Lonchura striata: one gene and its partners. The main gene of each other region encodes a partner of the protein of the gene in region 2 in a complex. Links are inferred from orthologs where the notes say so. Each region holds a gene or a part of one and is shown on either strand. Other genes may lie near its edges.

The links.
Region 1: PIGA (region 2) and PIGH share a complex: the UniProt entries of both Homo sapiens proteins name them as parts of the glycosylphosphatidylinositol-N-acetylglucosaminyltransferase (GPI-GnT) complex. The link is inferred for Lonchura striata from reciprocal best matches to the Homo sapiens genes PIGA and PIGH.
Region 3: PIGA (region 2) and PIGP share a complex: the UniProt entries of both Homo sapiens proteins name them as parts of the glycosylphosphatidylinositol-N-acetylglucosaminyltransferase (GPI-GnT) complex. The link is inferred for Lonchura striata from reciprocal best matches to the Homo sapiens genes PIGA and PIGP.

What each region holds. Positions count from the first base shown.
Region 1 is NC_134608.1:32,902,373-32,910,448, forward strand, and holds the start of PIGH (phosphatidylinositol N-acetylglucosaminyltransferase subunit H), read left to right. Parts: upstream 1-5,053; 5' UTR 5,054-5,063; coding exon 5,064-5,243; intron 5,244-7,050; coding exon 7,051-7,260; intron 7,261-7,866; coding exon 7,867-7,950; intron 7,951-8,076. Other genes in the region: ARG2 (arginase-2, mitochondrial), read right to left, coding at 2,318-2,390, 2,510-2,626. UniProt on the Homo sapiens protein: Part of the glycosylphosphatidylinositol-N-acetylglucosaminyltransferase (GPI-GnT) complex that catalyzes the transfer of N-acetylglucosamine from UDP-N-acetylglucosamine to phosphatidylinositol and participates in the first step of GPI biosynthesis.
Region 2 is NC_134604.1:100,048,949-100,056,363, forward strand, and holds the start of PIGA (phosphatidylinositol N-acetylglucosaminyltransferase subunit A), read right to left. Parts: upstream 3,101-7,415; 5' UTR 3,071-3,100; coding exon 3,030-3,070; intron 2,794-3,029; coding exon 2,135-2,793; intron 1,598-2,134; coding exon 1,465-1,597; intron 409-1,464; coding exon 276-408; intron 1-275. UniProt on the Homo sapiens protein: Catalytic subunit of the glycosylphosphatidylinositol-N-acetylglucosaminyltransferase (GPI-GnT) complex that catalyzes the transfer of N-acetylglucosamine from UDP-N-acetylglucosamine to phosphatidylinositol and participates in the first step of GPI biosynthesis.
Region 3 is NC_134604.1:114,839,616-114,846,877, forward strand, and holds PIGP (phosphatidylinositol N-acetylglucosaminyltransferase subunit P), read left to right. Parts: upstream 1-4,262; 5' UTR 4,263-4,336; intron 4,337-4,425; exon of another isoform or gene 4,426-4,680; 5' UTR 4,681-4,699; coding exon 4,700-4,781; intron 4,782-5,581; coding exon 5,582-5,654; intron 5,655-6,112; coding exon 6,113-6,231; intron 6,232-6,463; coding exon 6,464-6,594; 3' UTR 6,595-7,097; downstream 7,098-7,262. Other genes in the region: E3 ubiquitin-protein ligase TTC3, read right to left, coding at 1,320-1,365, 4,155-4,232. UniProt on the Homo sapiens protein: Part of the glycosylphosphatidylinositol-N-acetylglucosaminyltransferase (GPI-GnT) complex that catalyzes the transfer of N-acetylglucosamine from UDP-N-acetylglucosamine to phosphatidylinositol and participates in the first step of GPI biosynthesis.

The DNA of each region.
Region 1 (8,076 bases), on a different chromosome or scaffold from region 2:
GGGCAGCGTGTGGGGCTCTGCCCCTCAGTGGGATGTTACAAACATTATATACCAGAAACTACCTGTGCTGTATTTACAATAATGTGCCAATATCTGTCACCTACATTGAACAGTGTGTTCCCAGCCTAAACCAATAGAAAAATACCAACACTGCAGTGAAACATGGAGGGCATGAAGAAGGAGAAAAAGGACAAAACACACCCAATTTCCTCCATCTTGTCCCCTTTGAACCCCTAATCTAGAATCCTAAAATTTTACTTTTGCACCCATGCCACACTTAATTATTACTTATCTCGAACACTCAGAGCTTGTAATTCATCCCGTAAGATTGAAATCTCTTTTCCATGGACAGAGATCAGAGACAGTGTCTCTCGGGGCTCTGTACAGGGAGGTTCCTGACCCCCTGCCAGGGTCCCAGGCCTTCCAGGGCAGCCAGAAGGAAGCTCTGGATTCCCACAACCAGCAAGAAAATATCTCCATGTGTTAGCATTCAGGAACACACATAATCATGGGATATGATTGTATGGAGGTGCTTTTATTGAGAGCTCTGGGAGTCAGGGATACAGACCCAAATCTGACTCTGATATGGCTTTCGAGCTGAACGTATTTTATATTCTATCATTATATAACTTACATATTAATTATTAAACTTATATTGTTCTATTGTATACATTGACATCAATTTCTCGTGATTTTTCTTAGGCCCCTGTCCAGAGTTATATCAAAGGGCTCAGATTTCCCTTTCTTTATACCTTCTGCAAGCTCCTATTGAAGTGAGCTTGTGTCAGGCAAATAAGAGGGTTTTGTCTTCCAGTTTTTAATTTGGTTGGGTTTTGTGGGTTTGAGCTTTTCCTCAAAGAATTCCTTCAAAGTGGAAACATTAGCTCTAAACCATTTGTAAGAGAACCCCAAGACTTCCAGCATAAAATTCTATTATTGATACTGAGTAATACCATTTGAAAGAGAACCCCAAGACTTCCAGCATAAAATTCTGTTATTGATACTGAGTAATCTGCTGCCTACAGCACTATTTAGAAGAGCATCCTCCTTTCAAACCTAGCATTTTATTAATTTCAGATAAACTTTAGACTAAGTAACTATTCCAGTACAAAGAACCTCTTTTAGATGCCCTCTTCCACACTTGCTGAAATTACAGCTCATTCTCACTAGAGTTCAAGTATTGCCAACAACGGCAATGTCTATACTTTGCATAAAACAAGAATGGAAAAGAATATCTACACATCTGGCTGCCAACTGGGACTTTTCAGCTTGTGAATCATAAGATATGCAGGATAAGCCTACAGGGCTACAAAGAACAATTACTTCTGTTTAGAAGCATTCTTACCATTCAGAATAAAATTGCTAGAGGGTTATTAGGCAATTATCTCTGTGTGCATCTAAACTCCACTGACACTAACCACCCAGGGAGAAGATATTGGTTCTTTCTGTGGTACATCCCTGCAATCCATCTTCATCACACCATTTTCAGTAACACTCTTTAGATTAAAGATTCTCCAAGACACAGTTCAGCTTTACAAATTTCTATCCCTCGTGTCCTGTTTCTAGTAAATGTGGTACAGCTTTCTGCAGCTTGTGGACGGAATAGATGTGAGAAGTTGAATCACAACTAAGTGCATGGATTTGCTTGCACAAAAAGACGAGAAACAGCCCATTCACAGGGTGACATTTGCAAGCGTTTTCAAAGACTTCACACAAGACCTCTTATATAAAACTGACGATTTCTCCAGAAAATTCTGAATTTCATCACCTGGAAGCATACGAATCTTTTAGGAACAAACTGGTAACGAACACAGAAAAAAAAAAAAATAAGGCAAAGCCCACACTACGTGCTAACCCGAGGGTTAGTCACAGTTCCTTCTCTGGATGCCACGAGCGCGCACAGCAGTTCGGGCGGCCGCTCGCTCCGCGGCAGTCAGCAGGGGAGCATCACACGCTCCGTGCGCCGCTCGCTGCGCCAGCGCGGCCGGCTCGGCTGCGTGCCGCTGCTCTGGGCAGCCGGAGCGCATCGCGGCCGGGGAGCCGGGACCACCGGCCGCTCTTTGTTCCGGGACCCCCGCAGGGCCCACTGCGGCTCCTCCCGGTGCGGCATGCGACGGGCGTTCTCCCTCCCGACGCCTCCGCAGGGCTGCGGGCACCGCCGGCGCCGGGGCACGGTGTGCTCCGTGAGGCACCGGAGGCGGGAGCCGCCTCCCCCCGCCCGCAGGAGCGGCTGAGTCACGCTGCCCCCCGAGCGGAGGGGGGCGCGGGCGGCCCCGCAGCCCCCGCCGCCACCCCCCGCCCGCCGCGCTGTGCTCACCGAGCCCGGCCAGCCGCTCCACCAGCCCCGCGGCGCGGAGGGTAGCGGGGCCGTGGTCCACTCCCCGCCGTTTCTGCGAGACAAAGAGAGGGGAACGCGTCAGACAGCGCTGCCCGCAGCCAGGTACGCGAGCCCCGCCGGGGAAGGGGAGCCGGGCGAGCGCGGCGCCCGGCGCATCCCCGCGATGCCCACCTGGCCCCTGGAGAGCGGGGCTCCCACCAGCGCCACGGAGTGCGCCCCGCGGCGCGGCCGGAGCGCGGCGTCGGGCTGGGCGCGGAGCAGGCGGGCGAGGGATCCGCGCAGGGCCATGGCGGGCGGTGCTGCCGCGCGCCGCCCGCGCCCCGCTCTCTTTAGCGCCGCGCGCCGCCCCCGCGCCGCCGGCCAACGGCAGCGCGCGCGCACGGAGGTGTGTCCGCGCGCCCCGCCCCCGCGCCCGCACGCCCGCCCGGGGTTTTTCCACTGCCGCCGCCGGGGGCACGGACGGGGGCTCGGAGAGAACGAGCAGCGCCTCAGGCTGGCGATGAGATGCTCGTTCTCTCTGACACGTGTAGGTCCCCTCTGTGTGCGAGCCGCACGCTCCTGCAGCTCAGCCCGGCTCCCTGGCTGGCCGCTCCGTGGCTTCCCCGAAGGAAAACGGTGACGCTCATCACCAGATGACCTTAATAAAGCATTGAAGGACCACCTGTTCAGCACCTACCTCGAATATTGATCGCAGAGCATCGTGGCCTGAGACGATTCTCGGGTCTCCAGCTATTCATATTTGAGGCACATTTGAAGGATGATTAACAAATGATTTAAAAAGAAGTGGCAGTCCCCACCTTTCCCTGCTGTGACAAGGCAACAGGACTCCCACTGTCGAATGTCCAGTCTTTATCTACAAGCTTGAAAGAAGGCTGACAGCTCATGAGATAACAGGGCAGAAACATAGTTAAATAGGGACTTGCCAGAGACACATATTAAAAAATCCAAGCATATTTTGCTTTTTCGTCTTAAGATTTCCTAGTTCTCCTCCTATCTCTGTATGTCAATAACTTCTTTGTGTCTTGTTGTGAATGTGAATTATTGTTATCACTCCTCCAGGAGATCATATTTCTTTTCTGTCCTGTTTACTGACCTGGCTGTTCACAGTGCTTTTACCTCTTCTACTTCTTACTCTGATATTTCTTTCCCCTTCTTGTCCCCATCTCTGAAGCTGTCATACCAGCTGCCATAACTCCTGCTTACATGCTTCAGTCCTTCTCACCTGCCATTTCAAACCTTTCTTCCATCTTTTAAAAGCCTGTTTTCAATTTATTGGGTTTTTTCCACTTTCACTTCATCAACTAACTTCTTTCATCCTCTTTTGAACTTCAGTATTTTCTTCTCCATTTCTGCACTTCATTGTCTGCTGTTAATTTTTTTTTTCCTCCAGGCCAGCTCACCTTTCCTCTTCAGAGGAAGAGGAAAGCCCATTCCTCCACCTGGTCTCTTGTGTCAGAGTGGGATCCTGGATGTACTGCACAAGACTTCCCATGGATGGCAGCCATCAACCACTCCTCCAGGCAAAGCAAAGGCCTCGGTAGTGATTCTCTGATGCCCCTTGTTTTTTCATGTCCCTTAAGACTTCTTTGGTGCCCCTGTGAGAACAAGTTAACAGCTTTTTTGTACATACAGTATCCACCCAAGAGCTCTGAGGATGCCATGCATGAAGTAAATTGCTCACAGAAAGATGGCACCTGCAATTAAAGCTAACACTCAAAAACTGTGGGAGAAGGGAAAAAAAAAAAAAGGCCAAAGAAATCAGGATGGCAGTTTGGAAGTCACAGAGCTGTAGTTTTATATTACTGCCACGTAGTCACAGAGCCACCACGAAGTCACAGAGCTGTAGTTTTATATTACTGCTATGTCAGTCACATGAAGTAATAACTGAAATGCATTAAAGGGAACACAATACAAAGATCCATTAAGTCTCTGTATGCAAAGCCAAGTCTCCAATTTATCATGTATTTAGTGGCAAGGGACCAGAAAACTCTGCTTTAAACCTTGGGGGAAAAAATCAAAAGAGCTTGTAGTTAGCTAAGCATGGTACAGATGAGAAAATCCATTAATGTAGTTGCAGATGGTAAGGACAAAGGGGTGAAAAGAGAACCTTCCTGAGAAGAGAAGGTTGCATGGAGAACTCATAGAAACCTTCCAGTATCTAAAGGGGCGTTCTGGGGAGCCAGAGAGGGTCTTTCCATCAGGAGTTGTAGTGATAGGACTAGGAGTAATGGAAAAAGGGTAAATTTAGGTTAGATATTAGAAATTTTTTCCTTTGCATGTGGTGAGACACTGGACCAGGTTGCCCAAGGAGGTTGTGGATGCTCCAACCCTGGCAGCGTTCAAAGCAAGGTTGGATAAGGCCTTGAGCAACCTAGTCCAGTGTGAGGTGTCCCTTTCCAAGGCGGGTGGTGTAGAACCAGATGATCTTTATGTTTCATTCCAGTCCCTTAACAGTCTACGATTCCATGAAAACCCCAGGCTCTTCATCACGTCAAGAGACACGTGCAGCACCACTAACCCGTGTGCCCTTTAACTAACACTCATACTCCGTAAACAGAGGAAGCAGGCAACGAATTATCAACATGTGCAAACCGCAGAAAGCGCTGATGTAATCGAGATTACGGACAGACGCCCGGGCAGGCACAGCCGAGGAGGCAGGCGGCGCGGGCCGAGCCGGCGGGCCAGGCTCCTCCCGCGGGAGGACGGCCGGCCCCGCCCGCCCGGCATGGCGGAGCAGCGCCGCTTCCTCTCGGCCTGCGGCGTGCCGATCGCGCTGCGGCGCCGCCAGCACAGCGCGTCCTGCCGGGAGCTGGCGGTGCGCGGCCCGCGCCTGCAGCTGCGCTCGCTCAGCGCCGTCACCTCCGCCGTCTGGCTGGCGGCCTACGGGCTCTTCGCGCTCAGCGAGGTACCGGCCCCGCCGCCCCGGGCCCTCCGCGGCTCGGCACGGCGCCGGCCGCGCCCCTCCCGCGGGCGCGCAGGAGTCCCGCGGGCTGCGCCGCCTTGGCTAGCGGCGCCCGGGGCGTGGGGGCGGCCGCAGCCCGCGGGAAGGCGCCGAGCGCCGCTCCGGGGCATCCCCCGCGCCCCGGCCGCTCCGAGCTGGTGGGTGTGTGACGGCAAAGGGACGGCCGTGCCAGCCTGCCGGCTGCGGGCCGCCACCTGCCTGCCCCAGTGGCTTCGCGGGTGCCTCTGTTGGTTTGTAGCCTCTTGACAGATAGGGTAGATGTATGGGTGCTGAGTGATGCCTGGCACATCCTTCTGAGTCCAAATAACACGTGTTCACTTGGAGAAATGAGTTGTGAGAATCTGAAATTAAGGAGGAATTGAATAAGGTGAATGATTTTTAATCCTCAAAAGGAATTTTTCTAAGTGACACCGGGAGCACTGCACCGGGAATGTCATCAATTTTCACAGCTGAGGCAGAAAGATATTTGCAGTACAGATATAAAAGTCTGCTGATTCCTAAATTAATGCTTTTGGATTAATCAGAAACTGGACCCAGACAAGTTATGTCCAGACTGAATTCAGTAGCTTGACCAAAGAAGCTGGTCACTGTGACCCATGCTTTGACTGTTGCAAATCAGTTTTTTTCAGTAATCCTTCTTAAGAAACAAAGGTAGAGTCAGTTGTCAGACAGAAATAGATGGTTCCTGATTAAATTTCTTTTTTTACGAAAGCATGTCATTCTTTTTTTACACTGCAGTCAGTGGTTAGCACCCACTGCCCTCCTGCTTGTCTTTACACATGCTCCTGCAGCCTGCATGCAAGTGACTGCAATTCTTCCTTTAGCCAGGAAATCAGGCCTGAAAGTGCCCCTCTCTTTTTGTGGATTTCAGTGTCTGTACTTCATGACTGTTTTTTTCCCCTGTGATAGCAAACTTTTGGAGATGTCCTGTGTGCTTCCTGAAGCGATGGCTTCTTTTGCTCACATGGTGGTACAGGCCCAGCTTGAGTGGTAGTAGGGCTGTGCAGTTCTGTTCCTTTAGAAAGTGTCACTTATAACTCTCATTCATGAGTAGGTGGCCTGAAGATCTCTAAAACATGTCTCAGAAACAGGTTGTGGGTTGTGGACCTTTAGAATTTATCACCAGGTCTTCAGATGATTTACTGGTGACTATAGTGTCATTGGTTATATATTAAAATGTAACAGCAATCCCAAGACTGTGGCATGCAAAAGACATTGATCCTTACACAAAATACAGGATAAAGCAAAATTTCATTGGGTTGGTATTTAAGGCAAGAAGTGGGTGTGGTTTGAACAAGTTTGGACTGGCAGTTCATGGTAAGAAAACCACCCTGGCAGTGTTTATCCTGAAGGAGGGTTCCTCTGCTTTGAGAATCCACCCTTGCTTCCTGTAAACATTTCACAACACTTTTTTGTCAGTGACATCATCTTTAGAAGTTGGCATAATACTCTCATTGATACATCTGGCTTGTTTGGGTTGAGATTTCTGCATTGAACTTGGAAGGGAATAGAATTTTCTCGCAGTTTTCAGTTTCAGCTCCCAATTCTTTTAGTGCATACTGCAAAGACTAACTTAAACCTCACTACATAGATATCAGCCAGCCAGGTGAATAAAAAGACTCTACCTAAGTAAAAATGCTTTGCACCTGTAGCTTTAATATACAATTTGCTGCGCAATTTTAATTTCTCTAAAGCTGTGTTAAAGTAACTGTAAGACCAGAGCTCTGCCTTTTCTTGGCTTGTGTTACAGAACAGCATGGTGCTCTCTGCCGCCATCTTCATCACGCTGATTGGCCTGATCATATACCTGCACTTCGTGAAGATTGACCAGGAATCCTTGCTGGTCATCGGCTCGCTCGGCATTCAGGTGACTTCCTCCTATGCCTCAGGGAAAGAGAGCACAACCTTCATTGAGATGGCTCAAGTGAAGGATGTGGTTATCAATGAAGCCATCCATATGGTAATCATACAAAATCTGTCTTCTTGTGTCTGGGCACACTCACATCCAGTGTATTTTCATGAGCATGATTTACCAGAGCAATTAAACACAGCACCATCCGTAGCTTTACTGACATCAGGAGCTTCAGATTTTTCAACTTAATTTGTCATCTCTCACCTTTAAAGGAGAAATCAAACCAAACAACCTCAAAAAGCCAAATCAATCCCTTGGATAATGCCACTGTCATTGAGCTAGTGGGTTTCGTTCTTTGTGTTATGCTGTTCTTTCAAATCCTGATGCCCAACTCCATATGTAATCAAGATGGAGATGAGAAGCTACGACAGCACAATGATTTTTCCTATTGCTGGGGTTTGCAAAGCTCCTGTAGAAAAGCAGACCTTACCCTTCCAGCATGTGTGTGTTCTTCTTAGGTTAAAAACTTAATAGACAGTCAACGTTATTTCTTTATTGAGTGAAAGCTGTTGATACAAATTTGTAGACTTGACTGTGACCTGGCAGGATTTGCCTTCAGCCCAGTGAGTTGAAACAGATCCTACTTCTGTGCTAACTCCAGGCAGTTTGACAGCATTTTTATACTCCAATGATTTTTGTCCGTTTGTCTTGTAGCAAAAAGTTATCTACTACCTGTGTATCCTCCTCCAGGACCCTGAAGATCCTCAGGGAGTATCTGAGGTTGTGCCACTCTTTCAAGTGAGTTTGACTGAATGGTGGAGAAATCCATGTTGTAGTCTTTGTGTTGCATCAGTTGTCTAAGCATATTTTTATTCTGCTACAGGTAGCTGGTGACAGTTGCCTTTCCCTGGCTGGGCTGTCAGG
Region 2 (7,415 bases):
ACATACAAAATAGTATTTTGGAGAAGCAGTCTGGCTAGTTCAGAGAACTGAGAGCAGATCTACATGTTATTCCCAATTCCACACAAAATTCTTCTTGGAGTTAACCCTTCTGTCTCAGCTTCCAGGTGATCTGTAAATGGGCATAACATTTGCTTACCTCTGCCAAGACAGAGCCTCAGATGAAATTAAATGTGATAAGCCCATATTATTTCATTGTGAAATTTGTTTAAAATGGATACATGTTTTCTAAATACTGCCATTTTTTTTTTTTTTACCTGTAAACCACAGCTTGCTGCCTCCACAATAGCCATACAAAAGGCCTCAGTGAGGGAAGTGTTGAGAAAAATGTGCCCCTGGACCAGGACATTTCTGACCTCCTGGTGTTCCAAGCCTCCTAGAAGACGCACCCTGCAAACAAGAGGAAAAAAAAAACAAACCAAAAAAAACCATCAGAGATAAACACTAGATTTGGACCATAACAATGCCACATACTCTGAAAAAGGTATCAATGGTTCATACTTATATAGTGACAGAACAAAGATGGGCACCTCAGTTTAGTGTTATCTAATTTTTTCCAGCAACAGAGAAATAGAAGACCCTGCTTTTTTATTGTCACACTGAAAGAAACTTCTGAAAATAAAGTTGGTGGGAGAAGTTGGTGTTTTAATGACATTTGCCTCCAGAACACTCATACTGAGCCTTCTAGTTCTGCAAGAAAATATGGCTTCCTTCAGTTAATAACTAAGATTTGTCAAATATATTATCTGACTTTTCTATGTGAGGTCTGACCATTCTGAGTCTGATAAGGGAAAAAGTTTTTAAGATACAATCATCAGGACCCATCATCTTTAAGAGACATTGGAAAACAATAAAGGGTAAAATGAGAATGATACTGACAATTTTAATTGGGGAAATCACTGACTAAAGCACAAAACAGGCAATAAAAAACCTAGAAAAGTAAACAAACAATTGAGAATATGAAACTGTTCGTGATCAAGAAAACCCAAGAGAAATACATAAATGGCAACATTCTGGTAACATGGTAGCACCAGGTAATAAGTTTGTAGTACCACAAGAAAACATAAGAGACAAGCACTATACTGAAGAACTTCATACTGAAATAATAAATTACTAGCAGTCATCATCACATGCAATGGCACAAACGAGATGTTAACATCTATGCCAAATGATATCCAAGCATCATGGTTGCACAGAGGGGCATGATCAACTTAAATCTAAGTCACCTTTCTATGACCTGAGTGAAGGCTCATTCAGGGCTTATTCATAGAAAAATCAATTAACTTGCTGGATCATAGTCCAGCTCTCAAAGTCTTCAGTGTCTGGTTTATCTGCCTTGCCTTTAGGCCTCCAGTCTCAAGATTTGGGGTTTATCTGAGGGAAGGAGGCAGGCAGGTCCCCACCCCTGAAGTACCTTGAAGGGTCATGGATAACCACAGAACAAACCTGTCATGTAGCTGGTATCTTTCCCGGACTTCTTCCAGTATGATTCGTTTTGGTCCTTCTCCTCCAACTAAGAAATGTAACTCCGGATATTTCTGACAGAGCTCAGGAATTATACCACTAAGCAGATCAATACCTAAGAGTAGGAAATTTAGGGCAAGCCATTATTGCATTTGATTTCAGAACTTCTCATGATGTAGCCCACATCTACAACTCTATTCAGGAGTAGAAGAAGTGGAAAAAAAGTCTCCTGAAGACAGTTAAACTGCTGTACACAGAAATATGAAAAAAACCCGACAACTTGAGACCTCGTACAAGAAGAAAATGGAAACAAAATCACTTAAGCTGCTGTCACTTGATTAAATAAAAAACAATTAAAACATTTCTAACAGAATATTTAGATTAGGCTCTAAATCTTATGTCCAATATGAGCCAAACCTTCCATTTTACAAACTGCAGTTTTTGGTCTCTTCAGTATTACAAAGGAAACACATTTCTGAAGCCAACACGTACAAAAACAAATGTACATGTCTTCTTCTTAAGTTTGCAACAGCCACCTCGCCACTCCCAGTGAAAATTCCATCCATACCACAGATACTGCCTAAGTGACACCTGACCAAGACCTCTCCAAAGTAAGGAAACCAAACTAAGCTTACATTTGACCCCCTATTACCTTTTCTGTAAACAAGTCTGCTGACAACAACGATTGTTATTGTACTGTCATCCCTCCTCGAGGGGTCTGGAGTGAAGTCGGTGGGATCGACAGCGTTGGGGATGACAGAGACTATCCGAGGGTCCAAGGCTGCTCGCAACACCGTGTTCTCCTTGCTGGTGTAGGAGACGCAGATGATGTGGTTGGTGTCGCACAGGGACACCGTCAGCAGCTTGTTGGTCAGCACCGAGCTGACGTCCGCGAAGCCAAAGAGGGAGTGGTCAGTGAAGACGGTCCGCAGCCCCATGGTCTTGGCGTGGAACAGGGCGTCGTGGGCCATGGCCGAGAAGGAGCTGTGGGCGTGCACGATGGTCACCCGCTCCCGCACGAAGATGTACCTGAGCAAGGGCAGGCTGTGGAAGAGCGTCGTGGCCGTGGACTGGTTGTACATCACCTTCAGGGGCAGGTAGTAGACTTTCAGCCCGCTGGTGAGGTAGCGGACGCCCTTGCGGTGGCCGTAGGCGTGGGTGACCACCAGGACCTTGTGGCCGCGCTCGATGAGGCACTGTGACAGCTGGTACACGTGGCTCTCCACGCCCCCCATGTTGGGGTAGAAGAAGTCCGACACCATGCACACGCTGTGCGCCGCCGGGCCTCCGCCCTGCATCCCGGGCCCGCTCCTGCGGGGGGAAGGAGCCACAAGGCGCCGTCACTCGCCCGCGGCGGCCCGGCCCCCTCAGCGCCCGCGGCTCCAGCGCACGCAGGGCGGGGCGGGCCCCCGAGGAGCGCAGAGCCCGCGCGGCCGCGCCGGGGGAGCCGCGCACGTACCCGTACCCGGACGCGTACCCGTACCCGTACCCGTACCCGGACCCATATCCGTGCCCGCTCCCGGACCCGCTCCCGTGCCCGCACCCACCTGCCGGCGGCCGGCGCTCCCTGCGTGCTGCCCGGCGCCATGGCCCCATCGCCGCTCTCCGCCGCGGCCAATCGCCGCCCGGCGCGGCGTCACGCGGGAAAACCAGCGCCAATCGCTGCGCAGGACGGAGATTGGCTGCGGCGCGCCCGCGATCCCGCCCCGCTCCCGGCATCCCGCCCCGCTTCCTATCCCGCGATCCCGCCCCGCTTCCTATCCCGCGATCCCGCCCCGCTCCCGGCATCCCGCCCGGCTCCCGGCATCCCGCCCAGCTCCTACCCCGGCATCCCGCCCCGCTCCCGGCATCCCGCCCGGCTCCCGGCATCCCGCCCCGCTTCCTATACCGGGATCCCGCCCCGCTCCCGGCATCCCGCCCCGCTTCCTATCCCGCGATCCCGCCCCGCTCCCGGCATCCCGCCCCGCTTCCTATCCCGCGATCCCGCCCCGCTCCCGGCATCCCGCCCCGCTTCCTATCCCGCGATCCCGCCCCGCTCCCGGCATCCCGCCCCGCTTCCTATCCCGGGATCCCGCCCGACTCCCGGCATCCCGTCCCGCTTCCTATCCCGGGATCCCGCCCCGCTCCCGGCATCCCGTCCCGCTTCCTATCCCGGCATCCCGTCCCGCTCCCGGCCCGCCCCAGCTCCCTATCCCGGGATCCCGCCCCAGCCCTCTGTCCCGGTGTCCCGCCCGTTCCCGGGGCCGGACACCGAGGGCACGGCGCTAATGCAGCAGCGAGGTCCTTGCTGTAGTGGGATGCTCGTTCCGGAGGGTTGTTGTCAAAAAGGTGTATTACGGAGCTACGGAAAATGTGACATAAATGTCGTATTAGGGATGGGATTGCCTCAAAATTCCAAAGGCTTTGCTCTGCCCCCAGTGAAGAAGCTCTTCTGGTGTGTTAGGCTCAGTTGCATCTGGAGCTCCCGAAATGTTCTAGACTTTTCTGCCAAAAGTGCTGAAAGCTTGCTGTCTCTAAATGAAAATTAATTTTAAAAATATGTTTTTAATAGATGGTCCGGGAGCTTGAACACTGGGAAAGGAGCTGGTTGGCATCACTTGGCTATGTATTCCTGGTCTTCGTGAGGAGCCTCACCATCAGCCTTTTCTGCAGCTCCAACACTGTCCTGGCTGCTGCTGGCTGCCAAGAAGGGTGTTCATGCCTTTCCTGTATATTCCCAAAATTATGTTTGGCAGTTCTTCTTCTTGCCAAGATTTCTGATATGAATTTTGTCAGATTTGAGTCTGTCGTGACTCCTATGCAAATGTGCTTGTTGTGAGTGACAGTACAAGCTGACCTAGGCTGGAGTGCTGGCTGGATTCCTGTTAGATTGAAGCTTGGACAGATGTGGTTTGGAGGCACTGATCCCAGGAAGGACTACGGAGGAAATCAGGCATGTCATTCTTGGGACTGAATGATGTGAAAACCTCTACTGTGTTGACTAAGAAAGGCATTGCTCATTAATTGAATTTTCCTCATGTGTTCAGAAAGATGGGACCAGCACTGGCAAATCTGATTTCATCATCAGGTGGTTCTCTGGAGTGTAAAGAACCTGAATTTCAGGATGAGAAGCTGAGTGTGAGGCCAGAAGAGGGGAAACTTCTCACCAGCAGCTGCAGGGTGTGAAAGAAGAGTTGGAGAAGCAGGAGTTTGTAGGCATCCTAGTTCTCAGAAGAAGCTATAGCCTCAGTGTAAAGCTGTGGCCTTCAATTACATCTAGGAAAAAGGCACCAAAGTAGTGCCAGGAGAAGGAGGAATTCACCTGGGGGCTCTCCAGTGCAGCACCCCATGGTAGTGGTGATCTCCCTTGCTGTCACACTGCCCTGAAGAATCAAGCTGTCAAGTCACTCCAATTTTAGCTGTCAGGAAAACAATGCTAATGGTTTTAACTATTTTAAAATAATTTTGTTTAGATTAGTTCTTCATGTGTATTCTCTAGAGAAGTTGTAATTCTTGCTATGCAAACTTTAAAAATCTGAAGAGAAATTGTAATTGGTACATGACATAGCAGCTTCTTCCTTTACTTTCCCAGCAGTTGGTCATTGGCTCTGGATGTCTTTCTGAAGGAAATCAGGGATTGGGGCCAACCTTCATGCCTTTGGCCTGGCATGTTGGCTTTGGTGGTCTGACATGTGTGTTCTTCATTAAATGTGTCTGGTTGAGCTTAATGTCATTCCTGTCAGAGGTCCAGTAAATCCCCCTGTATCAGCAACCTTCTCCTGTTGACATATTCAAAAGAACTTGAATAATTTGTCTTCCAAGTAGCCTAGGACAAACCTTAATAGAAAGGAATCTTTGCCACTGCCAAGTTGAAAAAGGTGCTGCTAAATTTTGTCTCCACAGCTGGTTCACAAGGATGGGATAATATTCATTTTACACTGACTGTGGTGTGGTGTTGTGTATTCATAAAAGGGTCACAGATCCTGATCATATCCAGACTCTCTCCTGGCCTGATATGAGGTGAAGCCCATAATGAAGAGACCAACACCTGAAGAAAGAGTCAAATTTTCTTACTTTCTAAATCCTGCACTCAATGTATTCAGTCCCTCAGAGCACATACAAGGTCAGAGTGAGGCTGTAGGATAAAGTGTAGTGAGTAAAGATGTAAAACCTGTCACAGCAGAGTAATTGCCACTTCCAATCCTGGTCCTTGAATGCTCTCTAAAACATCTCATAAATTGAGTTAATGGAGAGAGAAGATGGAGGACACTCCAAAACTCCTGTGTCTTTGTTCAGGTAGCAGATGTCATCATGCCTCAAGGAGACCTCTTCAGTGTACTTGAAAATACAGGAAAACTCTGCCAAGTACTCTGCACTTGCAACTCCCACTCAGTCTCCTCTCAGGCTGAATTTGCCACTCTATCCCCCAGCCTGTTGCATGACATTGCTCTTATTCCCTGTCTTTATGGGGCAAAGACTATCACTATTTGGTGAAGTGGCTAAGCTGGTGTATTAAATTAATGCATTTATTTAAACTCAATAAGCCTAAAGCTTATTTATTATTAATACATTTATTATTAAAAACAGTAATAATTGACAAAAACAAGCTATCAGTTCTTCACAGAGTACTTCACAAAAGAGCTGTGAAGCAGTGCTGCTCTAGAGCCTGATGCCATGACAAGGGAGCCACAGTTCTCCTGGAAAAGAAATCTTATGACATGGAACAGTGGTGTGAGACAGCACAACTAGCTTGAAGTGAAGAACATTTCCTTTTCATGGTCCAGGAAAGCAGAAACTGTTGGAAACCACAAATTAAGTGCATGAGTGAAAAATAGTAGTACTGCTGAATGGAGAACTGTGGGCTGTAGATGTATCATAAACAGAGACTGGTTAGTGAAACCAAGCATGACAGCCAGAGACAGCCCAACACCTTGCTCAAGAAATGACAGTGTTTGCAGTTTTTGGTCCTGCTGGAATTAAATAGAGCCCAGAACAGAGAAGAAAGCAGTATTTGGAATTATTTCTCTGAAGAAAGAGGACTAATTGTCCTTCCATTTAGTTTACTTGTACAGGGTAAGGCTGAAGAGCCTGTCACTTCTAAGATTCCTGCATAGAGGGAGTGAGTGTCTCCCTCAGCAGTTGTTTTTTGCTGCTAGGAAATAGCAACAGGATCTAATAGATTCCATAATACCATAGAAAAGTTGGTTTTGCCTGGTTTCTACCACATACAGCCAATCTTATTACCTGGCTGGAATACCTCCCATAAAGCAGCCAGGAAAAATCATGGTTTTCTCATTCAAGCACCTGGGTTTTCCTATTCATGGAATCCCACAGAAGCTTGCTGAAATTACATGTTAATGTACTTCTAAAATACAGGTTTCAAGTTGAAAGCTTAACAAACCACAGTGCTGTCTGCGAAGGAAATTACCACTAAACTCAAACTGAAGAAAGGGCTTCTTTTCTGAAGCCAGATTTCTCTCTTAGATGCCAGAAAATAAGTTGATTTTCCATTTTACAGACACTTCTCCCTTCCAAGCAGTTTGGAATTGATCTGTGGGACATGAATTTGCTAGCAGAAGGGAGAAGTTGATTGGCAAGGCTGAAGGCTGTGTGTGTTAGCTCTCAGGTGTGTGATCTGTGTGCCTCTCATGCGTGCCCTGAGGTCTCAATCTCTTGGTCATACTCTGCATGTTACAGTGCTCTTCCACCCCAGTGCCCAAAGCATTCCCTTCCCTGTCAAATCAGGTCAGTGAAAGTGAAGAAGAGCATGAGGGCTCAGGAGCAAAGATGTACACCAGGAGCAGCTTCCAGTCCTCTGGGCTAATAAACAACTTACATCTCCTAGCAGGACACAGGACAGGACAGCTGTTGGCAGTGCATTTGCAGTGTTCTCAGTAATCCTGAGAATACTGAGAATGTCTGAGAAGAATTCTCTTTTACACCACCTGCCAGTG
Region 3 (7,262 bases), about 15 Mb from region 2:
TACAGGGCACAATTCAGGCATTCCAAAGTGCCAGGAAACGTTAAAATAAAGGATTAATTCAGGCATTCCAAAGTGTCAATAAATATTAAAATCAGTCATTATTTCAGGCATTCCTAAGTGACAGTAAATCTTAAAATAAAGGATTATTTCAGGCATTCCAAGGTCCCAATATTTAAAATCCAGGATGATTCCAGCCTCTATTCCTGACAAAGCAAAGCAAAGGAATCTGAACCCTCTGAACTCACCTGGTCATGGAGGGGGTTTTTCAGAGGGGATTTTTATGGAATTATGGATAGAGAAATGCTGGAAGGTTTGGCATTCCTGTGTTCTGAATGGATAAATAATAAATAAATATTCTGAACTAAATAAATAATAAGATAAAAATGGAGAAATGCAGCCTCTCCTTGCTGGGCTGGAAGGGAATGTTCTTTTCCAGGGAAAACAGCAGCCTCTTCCACCTGTATCCATGAATTATTCTGGACAAGAATAATTGAATTAACCAGGGCAAGAGGGCACAAAAAGAGCAGGGTTTGTCCCCAAAAGCATCCTGCACTTCCCAGAATTTGGATGGAACAGGGAGGGAGGGATGGGAATTAAAAATTAAATGGGGTAATTGAGGTGGCTACAGGTGCTCTGAAGGAAATGAAAAGGGAAATTCAGTTTATTGGGGTGGGTTCAGGTACTCTCAGGGCAGAGCAACATCACTTGAGAGTCTGAAAATACAAAAAAATACAACAAAAAAAAGCACTCAAAAATACAACAAAAAAAAAATCACCAAAAAATTGCACAAAAAAAATCCACAAAAAAAAAAATCTCTTCCACAGCTGTTCATCTGCTTATTCCCACCAATTAGAGGGCTGTGCAGAAAATACAATTTTGAATTTGAGCCACCTGCTTTTCTGCAACTGAGAATTTTTGTTTAATTATTACTGCAAAAACCCTCCCTGCCAAAAAAAAACAACAACAAAAAACACACCAAAAAAACAAAAGAAAAAAAAACCAAAAAAACCAACCAACCAAACAAACAAACAAACAAAAAAAAACCAAGAACTGGAAGTTTTCTTTAGACCCACACAGCTAAAACCTCCAGCTTTGAATCTCCATCCTCACAGCATTAATTGCCTGCATTTATGTAAATATTACTGAATATTTAAGTTAGATTAGGAAATAGATGATAATTGTTCCAGGGTAACAGAATATAACAATGCTTCTGCTAAAAAATAATAATAAACCAATTTTCAAGCAACATAAGGAAAAATAAAATGAAATAGTAATCCAAAGATCCAAGAAATGGAAGAATATTGGTTTAGTTTCAATACCTGGTTTAGGACGAGGCGGCACAACATGTCCAAATGTTTCACGACACTAAAGATAAACACATAATTTACATATTTACAGGTATATATTTACATATTTACCATTTAGTACACTGCACAGCCAAAAAGCAAACACGGAAGAGCTGAAATCCCACAGGGAAGAGCTGAAATCCCAGAACTCAGAGCTGAAATCCCAGGAGCCAGAGCTGAAATCCCAGAACCCAGAGCTGAAATCCCAGAACCCAGAGCTGAAATCCCAGAACCCAGAGCTGAAATCCCAGGAATACAGAGCTGAAATCCCAGGAATACAGAGCTGAAATCCCAGGAGTCAGAGCTGAAATCCCAGGAGCCCAGAGCTGAAATCCCAGGAATACAGAGCTGAAATCCCAGGAATAGAGAGCTGAAATCCCAGAACCCAGAGCTGAAATCCCAGAACCCAGAGCTGAAATCCCAGGAATACAGAGCTGAAATCCCAGGAGCCAGAGCTGAAATCCCAGGAATACAGATCTGAAATCCCAGGAGCCCAGAGCTGAAATCCCAGGAATACAGAGCTGAAATCCCAGGAATAGAGAGCTGAAATCCCAGAACCCAGAGCTGAAATCCCAGAACCCAGAGCTGAAATCCCAGGAATACAGAGCTGAAATCCCAGGAGCCAGAGCTGAAATCCCAGGAGCCCAGAGCTGAAATCCCAGGAATACAGAGCTGAAATCCCAGGAGCCCAGAGCTGAAATCCCAGGAGCCAGAGCTGAAATCCCAGGAATACAGATCTGAAATCCCAGGAATACAGAGCTGAAATCCCAGAACCCAGAGCTGAAATCCCAGGAGCCAGAGCTGAAATCCCAGGAATACAGAGCTGAAATCCCAGGAGCCCAGAGCTGAAATCCCAGAACCCAGAGCTGAAATCCCAGGAGCCAGAGCTGAAATCCCAAAACCCAGAGCTGAAATCCCAGGAATACAGAGCTGAAATCCCAGGAATACAGAGCTGAAATCCCAGAACCCAGAGCTGAAATCCCAGGAGTCAGAGCTGAAATCCCAGGAGCCCAGAGCTGAAATCCCAGGAATACAGAGCTGAAATCCCAGGAATACAGAGCTGATTGCCCTGCAGGGGCTGATTGCCAGGCTGAGCTGAAGCAGCCCAGGAATGGCCACAGGACCAAGAGGTTGGGCAAGCTGTGCTGGCAGGAGCTGTCCCAGCAGTCCCCCCCTGCTCACAGGGGACACCAGCTCTGGCTCTGCCCCAGTTTGGGATTTTTGGAAGGGAATCATGGCCAGTGTGAGGTACCTGTACACAGCTTGAGTTCATGAACACTGGGAATCACTCTGGAGATGTGATCAGAGAATCCCAGAATGATCTGGGACGGGAGGGACCTCAAACATCATCCCACTCAAGCCCTGCCACGGCAGGGACACCTCCCACTGTCCCAGGCTGCTCCAAGGCCAGTGTCCAACCTGCCAGGGATCCAGGGGCAGCCCCAGCTGCTCTGGGCACCCTGTGCCAGGGCCAGATCCAGGTAAAAACTCCCCTGGAACATCCTGCAAGTTTCCCATCAAGCTCCAACCCCTCTTACCAGATCCAAGGAGGCCGGACCACCTCCAAAAAGAGCCGCTACAAAGGTGGACAGAGGACCAGCCATGGCACATCACCCTGGGAGAAAAGGAGGGTGAAAACACACCAGAGAGACAAACTCAGGAGCTGGGCCACACTTCCAACAGCCACGGCGCTAAAGCTCACTCTGCTGCTCTTGTTAAACTCTGGGCAAGTTCAGCTTAACGCTGAGCAAGCCATCCTAAACCCGGCTGGAAGCTCAGGCAGCCACTGACTCTGATCTACACCGCGACAGGAGCCCGGGCCCTGCCGCACGGCTGCATCCCGGGATCACGGCTGCATCCCGGGAATCACGGCTGCATCCCGGGAATCACGGCTGCATCCCGGGAATCACGGCTGCACCCCCGGGATCACGGCTGCATCCCGGACTGCATCCCAGGAATCACGGTTGCACCCCCGGGATCACGGCTGCAGCCCCGGGATCACGGCTGCATCCCGGGAATCACGGCTGCATCCCGGGAATCACGGCTGCATCCCGGGAATCACGGCTGCATCCCGGGAATCACGGCTGCAGCCCCGGGAATCACGGCTGCATCCCGGGAATCACGGCTGCAGCCCCGGGAATCACGGCTGCAGCCCCGGGAATCACGGCTGCATCCCGGGAATCACGGCTGGATCCCGGGAATCAAGGCTGCACCCCCGGGGATAACGGCTGCATCCCGGGGATTACGGCTGCATCCCCGGGAATCACGGCTGCACCCCCGGGAATCACGGCTGCACCCCCGGGATCACGGCTGCATCCCCGGGAATCACGGCTGGATCCCGGGAATCACGGCTGCATGCCGAGATCACGGCTGCACCCCCGGGAATCACGGCTGGATCCCGGGAATCACGGCTGGATCCCGGGAATCACGGCTGCATCCCGGGATGCCGAACACCCCGCCCCGTCCCGGCAGCTCCCGGGCTCCCCCCTCCGCCGCCACCCGATCCCGGAAAACCGCGGGCTCGCCGCTCGCGTGGATTATCCTGCCAAAGGGGAGAAGGGGACGCCGTCCGTGCCGGTGCTCCCAGAGCCCGGAGATGCTCACGGCACCGCGTGTGCGGCCCGGGGCGCGCTCACGGTGCCGGGCACAAACCGGGGCTTCCGGGCTGGGCGAGGCGCGGGGGAAGGCGGCCGAGCGGCCACCGCTCCGTCCCTCCTGTATCCCTCCGTCCTTGTATCCCTGTATCCCTCCATCCTTGTATCCCTGTATCCCTCCGTCCCGGTATCCATGCCCGGATCCCGCACGCACCGCTCCGATCCCGCTGCTGCCGCGGCGCCGCCGCTCCCGCCGCCCCGGCGCGCCCCGCCCGCCGGACGCACCGCCCATTGGCCGCCCGCCCTCTGACGTCACGGGCCGCGGCCAATCGGCGGGCCGTGCGCCTGCGCGCGTGGCCGGATGCAGGCGGCGCGGTGGCGGATGGGGGAGCGGGGGTAGGGAGCGCCTTCCTCCCCCATCATCATCATTATCATCCTCCTCCTCCTCCTCCTCCTCCTCCTCCTCCTCCTCCTCCTCCTCCTCCTCCTCCTCCTCCTCCTCCTCCTCCTCCTCCTGGGCCAGGCTGTGGACAGCAAAGGGGCAGAGCCGGGCGCGGGGAGAAGGGAGGGGTGCGGCCCCCGCAGCCGCGGGTACAGGGGCCCCCCCAAAGCGCTCCCTTATCTCTTCTATCCCTTATCTATCTCTGCTATCCCTTATCTATCTCTGCTATCCCTTATCTCTGCTGTCCCTTATCTATCTCTGCTACCCTCGTGTCCCGTTCTCCGCACTCCCCGCGAAGTTAAAGGCAAAAGCCCAGCATGGTTGAGAACTCTCCGGCCCCGCTGCCAGAAAGGGCAATTTACGGATTTGCGCTTTTTTTGGGCTCGTGGTTTGGCTTCAGTGAGTATCGCGCAGCCGAATCCATCACCCCGCAGTGCTGCTTTGCTTTCCCGTTTAAATCCGTTTTTTTTTACTCGAATCACGCTCATTTTCACATTCACTAAGCGCTGGAGGTAGTTGTGGTGTTACCTTCCCCACCAAAAAAATGAAAAAAAAAATAATCTGGTCAACAGAAGTGTAAAATATTTTAGGTTCCATCAGCTTTTCCCTGCTGATGTGATGGGTTCTTCTTTTCACTGGGGATCCAGGGTTTGAGAGGGTAGAAAACACTTTTCCAGCACAAGAAAAGGTGCTGCAAATATCCTTCAGTGCAGGATCCTGCTGTGGGTGTGTGGCACCGTCGGGCAGTGAGAAACGAGGGGGAGTTGGGCTCAACTCCCCCCCAAGAAGAATCAGGAAGGATTTTCAGTAATTTTCATTACAGTTCCATCCAAACACTACAATTCCACCCGGTTTTCTTCCCATAAAATGACCTCTGTGAGATCATTCTCTGCTTTAATAGTATCTCTGTTCAGATTCCTTTGGCTTCTTTTTATTGAGGTGCTTGGGGGTGGTTTTGTTGGTTTTTTTTTTTTCTTTATTGTTCTGCAGTTTAATTTGGAGTAAATTCTTGGCTGTCTTCATAGGAAATCAGAAATTAAATGTTAAAGCAAGAACAAAACTGATCCCGTGTAACCAGGGGCTGGGCAGGATTTGTCCTGCAATCTTTTGGGAGAGGTATTTTAGTTTAAATAAAAGCAAAACTTAGGAAGTCTAAAACACCATCAGTCTTATTGTGACTTTTTGATTTTGTTGTGCAGTTTTGTACCTTATCTGGGCTTATATTCCTGAGACTTGGCTCTTCTCCCTGGGACTGACATACTGGCCTCAAAAGTAAGTTCAGCCAATAAAATAAATTTAATCTTAGTTATTTTCAAATAAAAAACTTTATTTTTAAATAAGGGCCTAGAATAAAATCAATTTTCCCATGCTGATAAAGAATTGTAATGTTTCTAAAGCATTTTTAAAATGTAGCTAAGGTGAAAAGGTTTTGTTGTGCCATGAAATAAATAATATTGGGATGCTTTAGGATAAATTTGACATTTTGCTTTTTAGGAAGTCTGCTAGTGGAAATACAGTAAAATGTAGGGCATAATTAAACAATAAAGACCTTTTTGAAGGAATTTATCTGATGGTTTATCAGTAGCTCCAGTGGAATCAGGATTCATAATCAGAGGTGCTGCTGCTTTTCCTCTTGTAGAAATTCATCACAGGTACAATGCCAACAATTAAAGCCAATTCATTAGTAGGCATTTGTTACTAAATATAAAATTTCAAATCCTTTTTTTCAGGTACTGGGCAGTTGCTCTGCCAGTTTATCTCCTGGTGGCTGTGGGAATTGGTTATATTTTGCTTTTTGGGATTAACATGATGAGCACAGCTCCACTCAACTCCACTCACACCATCACAGGTGATTTTACTGCTTATTGAAAAGTTGGATCCTTCACTGAGAATTCTGGAAATCTATAGAGGATAAACCCCGAAATTTAAGCCTTTAAATATTTGATTTATTGGAAGCCCTGGTGGGGTTTTCAGCATCCTTTAAAGTAAGCTAAATTTGTAGTGCTGCCTTATAAAATTATATCATACTCTTGGAAGAAAAGGACCTGGAAACCATGAAATGCTCTCCTTATCTTTTGTAGATAACTTTGCAAAAAAGCAGCAGCAGAAGAAATTCCAGGAGGAGGCAATTCCAGCCCTGAGAGATATTCCCATCAGTGAAGTCAACAGGATGTTTTTTCTCCCTGAAAAAGGCATCTGCAATAGCAGATAGTTGTTACTAAAATCTGTTTGGACAAAGGATTGATAAAAATTACTGAGGAACGATTAAAACCTCTCCAAGCTAAAAAAAAAACAAACTCTTTCAGCTTTTTTTCCCCTGAATTTCTAATTAAATTCATATGGCTTCATTATTATTATTATTATTATTATTATTATTATTATTATTATTATTATTATGCACCTTATTAACCTGCATTGCTCTGAAAATTATGCCCCAGTCATTTATCTGGTTGTTATTTAAAAATTAAAAAAGTGGGTTGAAAAGTGTTCTGTTACTTGCAGCTTTTTGCTTGGAATTCCCCTCTGAGCGGGGAAAAAAAGCAGCTTTTAGACAGTTTAATTCTATTTTTTTTTAAATTCAGGGAGAGAAAAATGTGTTTTGCCAGTCAAACACTTGAGGATCTTTTTCAATTATTAACTGGAAGTGTTTGCATTGTAAATATATCATTTGCCTTTGTAAATATTAATAAAATGTAACTGATTTTTCCATCTTCACCATTTTCTTGTGATTCTGGGAGGTTTCTCCTGGGTTGAGGTGATAAATTCTCCATTTTCCTTCACACAATTCTTTATTCAGCCAAACCTGTTGATCCCCCCACCCCCCCAAAATATCAGATTTACCGAGTTACCAAAAATAATAAAGGTGGGTTGTGAAGATTT